Arabidopsis thaliana: one gene and its partner. Each later gene encodes a partner of the first gene's protein in a complex. Each region holds a gene or a part of one and is shown on either strand. Other genes may lie near its edges.

Region 1 (3,937 bases):
CTCGAGAGTGAAGCTCTAGAGATAGTGGTGAAGATGAATTGAAGAAAACCGGGTCGGATAGGGATTCGGGTTTGGTGGTGGTGAGTGAGGAACGAGTCGGGTCGAGTGAGAGGATAGTTTGTGTTTGCTGGAGAGATGAAACGACGTCGAGTACGTTCGTTTTAGGTGGAGTGGATAGAGAGCGAGAGGAAGCATCAGTGGTGGTGAGGAAAAGAGAGAGAGTGACGACGGCGAGGAGAGAAAGAAATCGCGGGAAAGCCATTATTTCCGGCGAAGGTTGATATGAGTTAAGTGGAAGAGAGAAAGAGTAAGTAATGTTTTTAATTTATAGAGAGAAAAATAAATGCTGCGGAGAGAGTCACGCCAGAATTGCTGCGGTTATAAAAGCCACATCAATTATTTATCATCCTGTTAAAATATTTGGATTCACATTATCATCGATCGGTAAAAAAACTTTATGGTTGGATATTATATTTTATATATACAAAAATAAATTAAATAAGAAGTCTTAATCTGGATTTATCATATGATTCCCAACATAGCGTTACATTTATACCGAATCAAATAAAAATTTAGACAAATGTAATTTGAGAATTGTGTTTATTTGTTATTGGCACCGAAAGAAGAATTTGTACTTTGTAGAATTCAACACAAAACTATAGCATAGTGTCTGTAGTCTGTACGGACGAGAGTAGAAACTGTAGAAGATAGGGATTTGACCTACTAAATATTTTAATACAAGTCTACAAGCGATTATCCAATATTAAGCTCCTAGAGATGTGTGACTACAGAGTACTTAAGTGTTTATTTATTGCAATGACCTTTGGATACAAAGTACTCCTATATTGTTAACCAATTCACTTTTAATTTTTTTTACGTGACCAAAGCTAAGATCTTATCTAGAAAACTAAAAGCTTTCTGTCCTTTTGTTATATTCGGGCTTCAAAACTTTGTACCTTCTTCTTACCATCGCTGTCGAGAGAAAAGTCAGCAGAAGTTTTGGAAACTATTAGTTATAGGGATCGAATTATCTTAATCATCTACGATCATGTCATTTTGTGTTGGATATTTGTTAATGCTTGTACATTTCTAAAAAAACATGTGTTGTATATTAGCTAATGTCAATATGTGGTGCATATTTGCTAAGTTGCCGTGGAAATAACAAAAACTTAAAATTTTGCTAAGTACTGTACTTTTTTTTTTTTGTGATTGCAATTTGCTTAAGGTGATTGATGAACGAAGGCTATATGTAAAAACTGGAAAGGAGTGAATCAATGTGAGAAGTGGGTGAGTTGTTACTTCGTTAGAAGAGAGATTTGGGTTTATTTCGCTTTCCCTGAATTAATGGTAACGCACCCTTTTGGCTTTGGTTGTTGCGTGTCATTTATTTCTCTTTTGTTTTTAATCTTGTTATATCCATTTTCTTATACCTACTTTACTTTTTTTCCATAAAATGAGATTATGCAATTCAATCAGTAATGTTTTAAATCGCATACACTTTTATATTTAACAATATGCCTTCACTAATTTGTATTTCAAGATTAGTTAGTGATATTTTATAGTAAAGTTTAAAGAACATTATAATGTAGACGCAATCATAGAGTTTTTCTTTGTCAAAGGCAATATTGCAACAAAAAAAAAGGTAGAAACGAAGACATTTTTTTTTTTGTGTGTGTAATCAGTAATCGCCTTACACAAAAAGACATATACTTTTTTGTGTAAGGTTTTTTTTTTTTGAGCTACTATCACTAAATTTGAAATCAAATAATTGATACTCCAATAAAAGTAGAAATAATATCATAGTATATGAAAAAACAAAAAAAAATTACAAGGACGATGAAAGAAAAAACAAAATCTCATAACTCAAAATCAAATATCATCTCCAAGTTCTTAACATGATAAAACTAGACTAAAATAAAAACTGACATCCTACTAAAATTAGAAACAAAATGACATAAATTGAAATCAAACTCACAAAAAAAAACAATAGACATTAAAACAAAAAATCCGAATAACAAAAAACAGGATCTCAGCTAAACAAGGCCTGGTGTAGTATACTAGTATTGGCCCATGGCCCATGGTTTGGTATTTTTTTTTCTCTGACCAAAGGAAGAAAAAAAAAAAGATATTTATCCGTATGGCGCCAAGAGGTTTGTGTGGTTTTCGATTTCATCCAAATTTCTGAATTTCGTCTCTAACATCCACAAAATCGAATGCGTTGTGTGAATCGCGTTGATTGTTCTTGGTCACGGCCAAGCGAAGCTTACCGTATCTTACCCTCCGGTGGTCACCTTTCATCTGGATTCCATCAATGTCCTTTATCGTCTCTATCTTTCCGTTCCTCTTTCGTGTGTTGCTCCTCCTCCACATCTGGACCGTCCGATTCAAATCCCGAATCATCTTCAAATCGCTCTTACAGCCGTAGATGGCAGAATCCTCTTCCCCGGCGTCAACATCCCGATCAAATACCGTCTTCTCAGATTGCTCGTGATTGGATCGATTCAGATACAACTCCAGTTTCTCAAGGTAGTTTAATAATGATCTTATGGAAAAACTCTGCTCTTACTTATGAATTTGTGAACTAGTTAGGATTTAGTAAATTAGAGATATTAGTAATAGCTTGAGTTACTGTTTGTCCATGAAGCTTGTGAAATTGTGGATGCCTTTGGATCTTACTAGTGTGTCTCTATGTAATATTAGCTTTAGAGAGATTCACTGTAGTGTCGTACAACATATTGGGAGATGGAAATTCATCATATCACAGAGAGTTGTACTCCAATGTGTCTGTTCCTTACCTCAAGTGGGGCTACCGCAAAAGGTTGATATGCGAAGAACTCATTCGTCTCAATCCAGACATAATCTCTATGCAGGTAATGAACTTTACCTTGTTTTATATCGTGTTAAGATAGTTAAGTTGATTTTGTTTGTGGACCTTTGTAGGAAGTAGATAAATATTTTGATCTATTCAGTATGATGGAGAAAGCTGGATATGCTGGCTCCTATAAGGTTGATGTATTTCCTTGTTCAATGAAAAATTTTATGCTTATAAGATTAATGGGGTAAAATGTAAGACATGGTTTGTCGGTTGGTTTTATTTACCTTTTCGTCTGAAGCCTCAACAAAAGTTGTGTTTATATAGAAGGACTACAAATATAAGCTTTGCAATGGCAGCGGCGAACTGGAGATAACGTCGATGGTTGCGCAATGTTTTGGAAGGCTGACAGGTAGCACATATTGTTTGACTCAATCTGTATTAGTGTGAAGAAAAACGACTACTACAACTCAGCATTGTTTAAGATTTATCTTGTTTTCAAAAGGTTTGGAGTTTTGGAGAGGGAAAACATTGAGTTTAGCCAGTTTGGTATGCGGGATAATGTTGCACAGCTTGCTGTTCTTGAGGTAGAAATTTTTTTTGAATGTTTTACGAACTTCTTTTTTCATGTATATGCTTTGACTGATCCAGTTTTTTTTTGGGTTTCCCGTCAGCTCCGGAAGTCTAATAAGTCAAGAAAGATACTGCTGGGTAACATTCACGTGCTTTATAATCCAAATCAAGGAGATGTGAAGCTGGGTCAGGTAAGCCTCGACATTTCAATTTGTATATCCGCTACACGAGCAATTGACTGTCATGAAAGTTTACAAAATGTTGATCTGGCCCTTTCACCTTTGGCTTTAAGACTTCAGGAAATTGTACTGAATCTCAGTCAAGAGATGTTTACTAGCATTAGTTTAAATATCTAAGACAAGTCTAAGTTACTAGTATATGTCATGACATGTTCATTAGTATATGTCCTAATGCTCATGAAAACGTATTGAATTCGTGGCTTATGTTTTTTCTTGAGTTCCTGATTTGCCTTGTTCTTGACTGATAGGTCCGTTCACTCTGCTCAAAGGCTCACTTGCTCTCTAAGAAATGGGGTGACATTCCCATTGTTCT
Region 2 (3,449 bases), 9.6 Mb from region 1:
TAGGGCTTATTGGATCTAAAGACGGGTCATCAAAGATTTCCTAAACTGAAGCAAAATATACTGAATACTCAAATATCTATCTGTTACCAAATTATAAACAAATAAGTTCGTAAAACAATTTAATATTTTATATACAAAATCAATTAAATCTTAATCACATAAAAATTAGCACAAAAAAAAGTATTCAACAATTAAAAAATTATCAAATCTCTGTGTTATATAAGTTTTGATACTATATTCGAATAAAGTGTAATATTCCTTTTCGATTTGTATTCTTTAACTAATTTAAGCTGACTAATATATTTGTTAATCTTATACCTATCAAAACCGACTATCGTTTTTTATCTCTATAGTATTTTTGCAACATTTGTTTGGTGGATTTGGGTAAAAGTGCATTCGGGTCATATGGTACATTCCCCTATTAAATAAATATGGTGTACTCCTATGTTATCAGCTAAAATATTTAAATTATAATTCAGAGTCATATCATTAGTAAAATTAATATTAATAAAATAAATGGCTTTTTGGCAAGACGGATTTGGAGTGACGGGTTTTTGAATCAACATTAATAAAAAAGTAAAATATAATTAATCCACTGTTTCAATACGGGTTAAATCTTTAATTTATTATTTTTTAAGATCACTAATATTAAACATATCAAATCATCCTAATTTAGAAAAGATTATATAAAACCAAAAATGTTATGTGGTATGTATAATATTACTATATATATAATTAAATTATAAAATATAAATGTATTAGAGAATATACAATTTACAAAACTTTTATATATAAAAAAGAATTCTTAAATTTTAAAAATTACTACTTTAAAAAAAAAATCACAGGACGGGTAAATAAATTATAGAACAGGTTTTATTTTGGAATTGGGTTATATGGTGGATGTATTTGAATCAATATTTATAAAATTTTAAATTATTATTATGCTGTTGTTTTAATAGGGGTTACAACTTCAGTTTTTTAACAATTATCTCATGGATTCGTGGTATAGCGTTATTTAATAACAATTATAAACTGTAAAATATAAATATATTTTAAAATTAAAAATTGCAAATTTTAATATATATTACTTTTAAAATCGTCCCGCGGTATACCGTGCGGTATACCGCGGGTTAAAATCTAGTTTATAGATAAAGCCAATACATTTCCTTGCTAAATTCAACATACTAACAACTAGATTAGTAGAGCTACAATTGCAAATATACCATTCCTTTTACAATATAATTATTTTAAAATAGGTTTTACTAGAACGATTCATCTTAATTAATATAAAATAGAAAAGAAAGTTTATTTTTAAATTTTTGCCTTTTTAACATTTGTAATCTTATCACACTAATATTGTGATGAATATATTAGAAAGTTATTTTGATTTTAGGAAATTGACAGTCTAAATTTTATAGATACATGAACTCATTTACGGACTAAATTCAACATACTAGCAATAACAGCTACAATCACAAATATAGTATATTCTTTTTGATAGATTTATCTGAAAATATATTTTTCACTAAAACAATTAATCTTAACTAATAAAATGGAAAAAGAAAGTTCATTTATGAATTTTTGTCTTTTTAACAATAAGAGTCTCATCACATTAATATTGCTAGTGATGAAATATGTTGAAAAATAGGTTTACTTTTGGTAGTAAACCAATAAAAGAATAATCTGAATTTGTAGCATTGATTTCTTATAATATTGTGAATTTTAAATACCTGAAAGGTGAATTTAAATGATCAGTAATTACAATATTAGTCTCGCAAGAAAACAAGAAATTTCCTTTTCCAAAACCGAAATAACTAATAAAATCAAATCCAAGACTTTTGCGGCGGTGACAGACTCTATAAAGAAGTTTCAGTCCCAAGACTCCCTCACATTATTTTCTCTCGCTCTCGAACAAAATGGTCGTGAAATCTGGAATTGAAATAGGAACAAGGAGATGAGTTTAATAGAAGATTGTCTAAGAAGCTACCGTTTCATTGCAATAGACACAGAGTTTCCATCTACTTTGAGGGAAACTACACAACATGCGACAGATGAGGAACGTTACATGGATATGAGTTTTAGTGTGGACAGAGCAAAATTGATCCAGTTAGGGCTAACTCTGTTCGATATCAATGGAAGAATTGGAGGAACATGGGAGATCAATTTCTCTGATTTCGGAGTTGACGATGCTAGAAACGAGAAATCCATTGAGTTCCTTAGACGCAACGGTCTAGATCTAAGGAAGATTAGAGAAGAGGGCATCAGAATCGAGGGTTTCTTCTCGGAGATGTTTTGGATGCTGAAGAAGACGAGGAGGAATATTACTTGGGTCACGTTTCATGGATCTTACGACATCGCCTATTTACTCAAGGGTTTCACCGGAGAAGCTTTACCTGTGACTTCAGAGAGGTTTTCTAAAGCGGTCGCGAGAGTTCTCGGTTCTGTTTACGATTTGAAAGTCATGGCGGGTCGATGTGAAGGACTAAGTAGCAGGCTTGGTTTGGAGACTCTAGCGCATGAGTTCGGACTTAACCGTGTTGGTACTGCACACCACGCCGGTTCCAATAACGAGTTAACGGCGATGGTTTTCGCTAAGGTACTGTCTCCGTTTCCTCTCTTTCTTCGTTTTGGTTCTTTGGAGTTAAGAACTATAGAAAGTGAAGCAATAGTGTAGTGTGTGTGTGTGCTTTGTGCCTTTGTCTAATCCTAAGACTGATCAATGATATATGTCCGTTCAATTATTTTTCTAGTAATGAGATGTTTTCAAGACTCAAGATACATTGAAGATGGAGAAGTAGCAGCATACACCAAGAATAATTTGACATGGCCCAATTGAACAAGATCATTCCCATCCTTTACCATGTCTTGTGATCCTAGCTTGTGTTTCTGCTGTGTATTGATTTGTGATCTTAATTCAACACTAGAACTTTTTCTTCATTACATGTTGACTTGACTAAAATGTTGATACTAATATACTACACAATCATTTAGATGCATGAATGATCAAGTTCTATTCTGATTGATATTGTCTTCATAGAACTTAGTGATTAACTAAATTTTATTTATACACTATTATTCAAATAACCATTTGTATCGTATTCTCATTTACATGGCTTTGATAGAATTTAGTAATGCTCAGTTTATATAAATTGCCAAATATGATACCAAATATTTGTGCCTCGTCATAGATCATGAATTAAACTACTGTATATGATTATCTAGTTATTATTTTTATTATTTTAATTAAGTCCGAACTGTATTTAAAATGTTTAATAAAAATAATTTATTAACTTCAAATATTTCATAAATATCTCATACAATGAGCTCACAGGCAGAAAAAAAGAAATAAAATATTCAAAATCTAAAGTTCCTACCTGCTATTTTTCTGCAAATTCTCTCACTTCACTAGATATTTTTTGATTAAAATCGAGAAAAGTAAATGGTTTAAA

The links.
Region 2: AT3G18500 (region 1) and AT3G44240 share a complex: the UniProt entries of both Arabidopsis thaliana proteins name them as parts of the CCR4-NOT complex.

What each region holds. Positions count from the first base shown.
Region 1 is NC_003074.8:6,350,331-6,354,267, forward strand, and holds the start of AT3G18500 (DNAse I-like superfamily protein), read left to right. Parts: upstream 1-2,141; 5' UTR 2,142-2,213; coding exon 2,214-2,526; intron 2,527-2,700; coding exon 2,701-2,870; intron 2,871-2,940; coding exon 2,941-3,006; intron 3,007-3,171; coding exon 3,172-3,224; intron 3,225-3,317; coding exon 3,318-3,399; intron 3,400-3,486; coding exon 3,487-3,576; intron 3,577-3,872; coding exon 3,873-3,937. Other genes in the region: ASPG1 (Eukaryotic aspartyl protease family protein), read right to left, coding at 1-262. UniProt on the Arabidopsis thaliana protein: Acts as a catalytic component of the CCR4-NOT core complex, which in the nucleus seems to be a general transcription factor, and in the cytoplasm the major mRNA deadenylase involved in mRNA turnover.
Region 2 is NC_003074.8:15,938,230-15,941,678, forward strand, and holds AT3G44240 (Polynucleotidyl transferase, ribonuclease H-like superfamily protein), read left to right. Parts: upstream 1-1,954; coding exon 1,955-2,674; downstream 2,675-3,449. UniProt on the Arabidopsis thaliana protein: Ubiquitous transcription factor required for a diverse set of processes. It is a component of the CCR4 complex involved in the control of gene expression.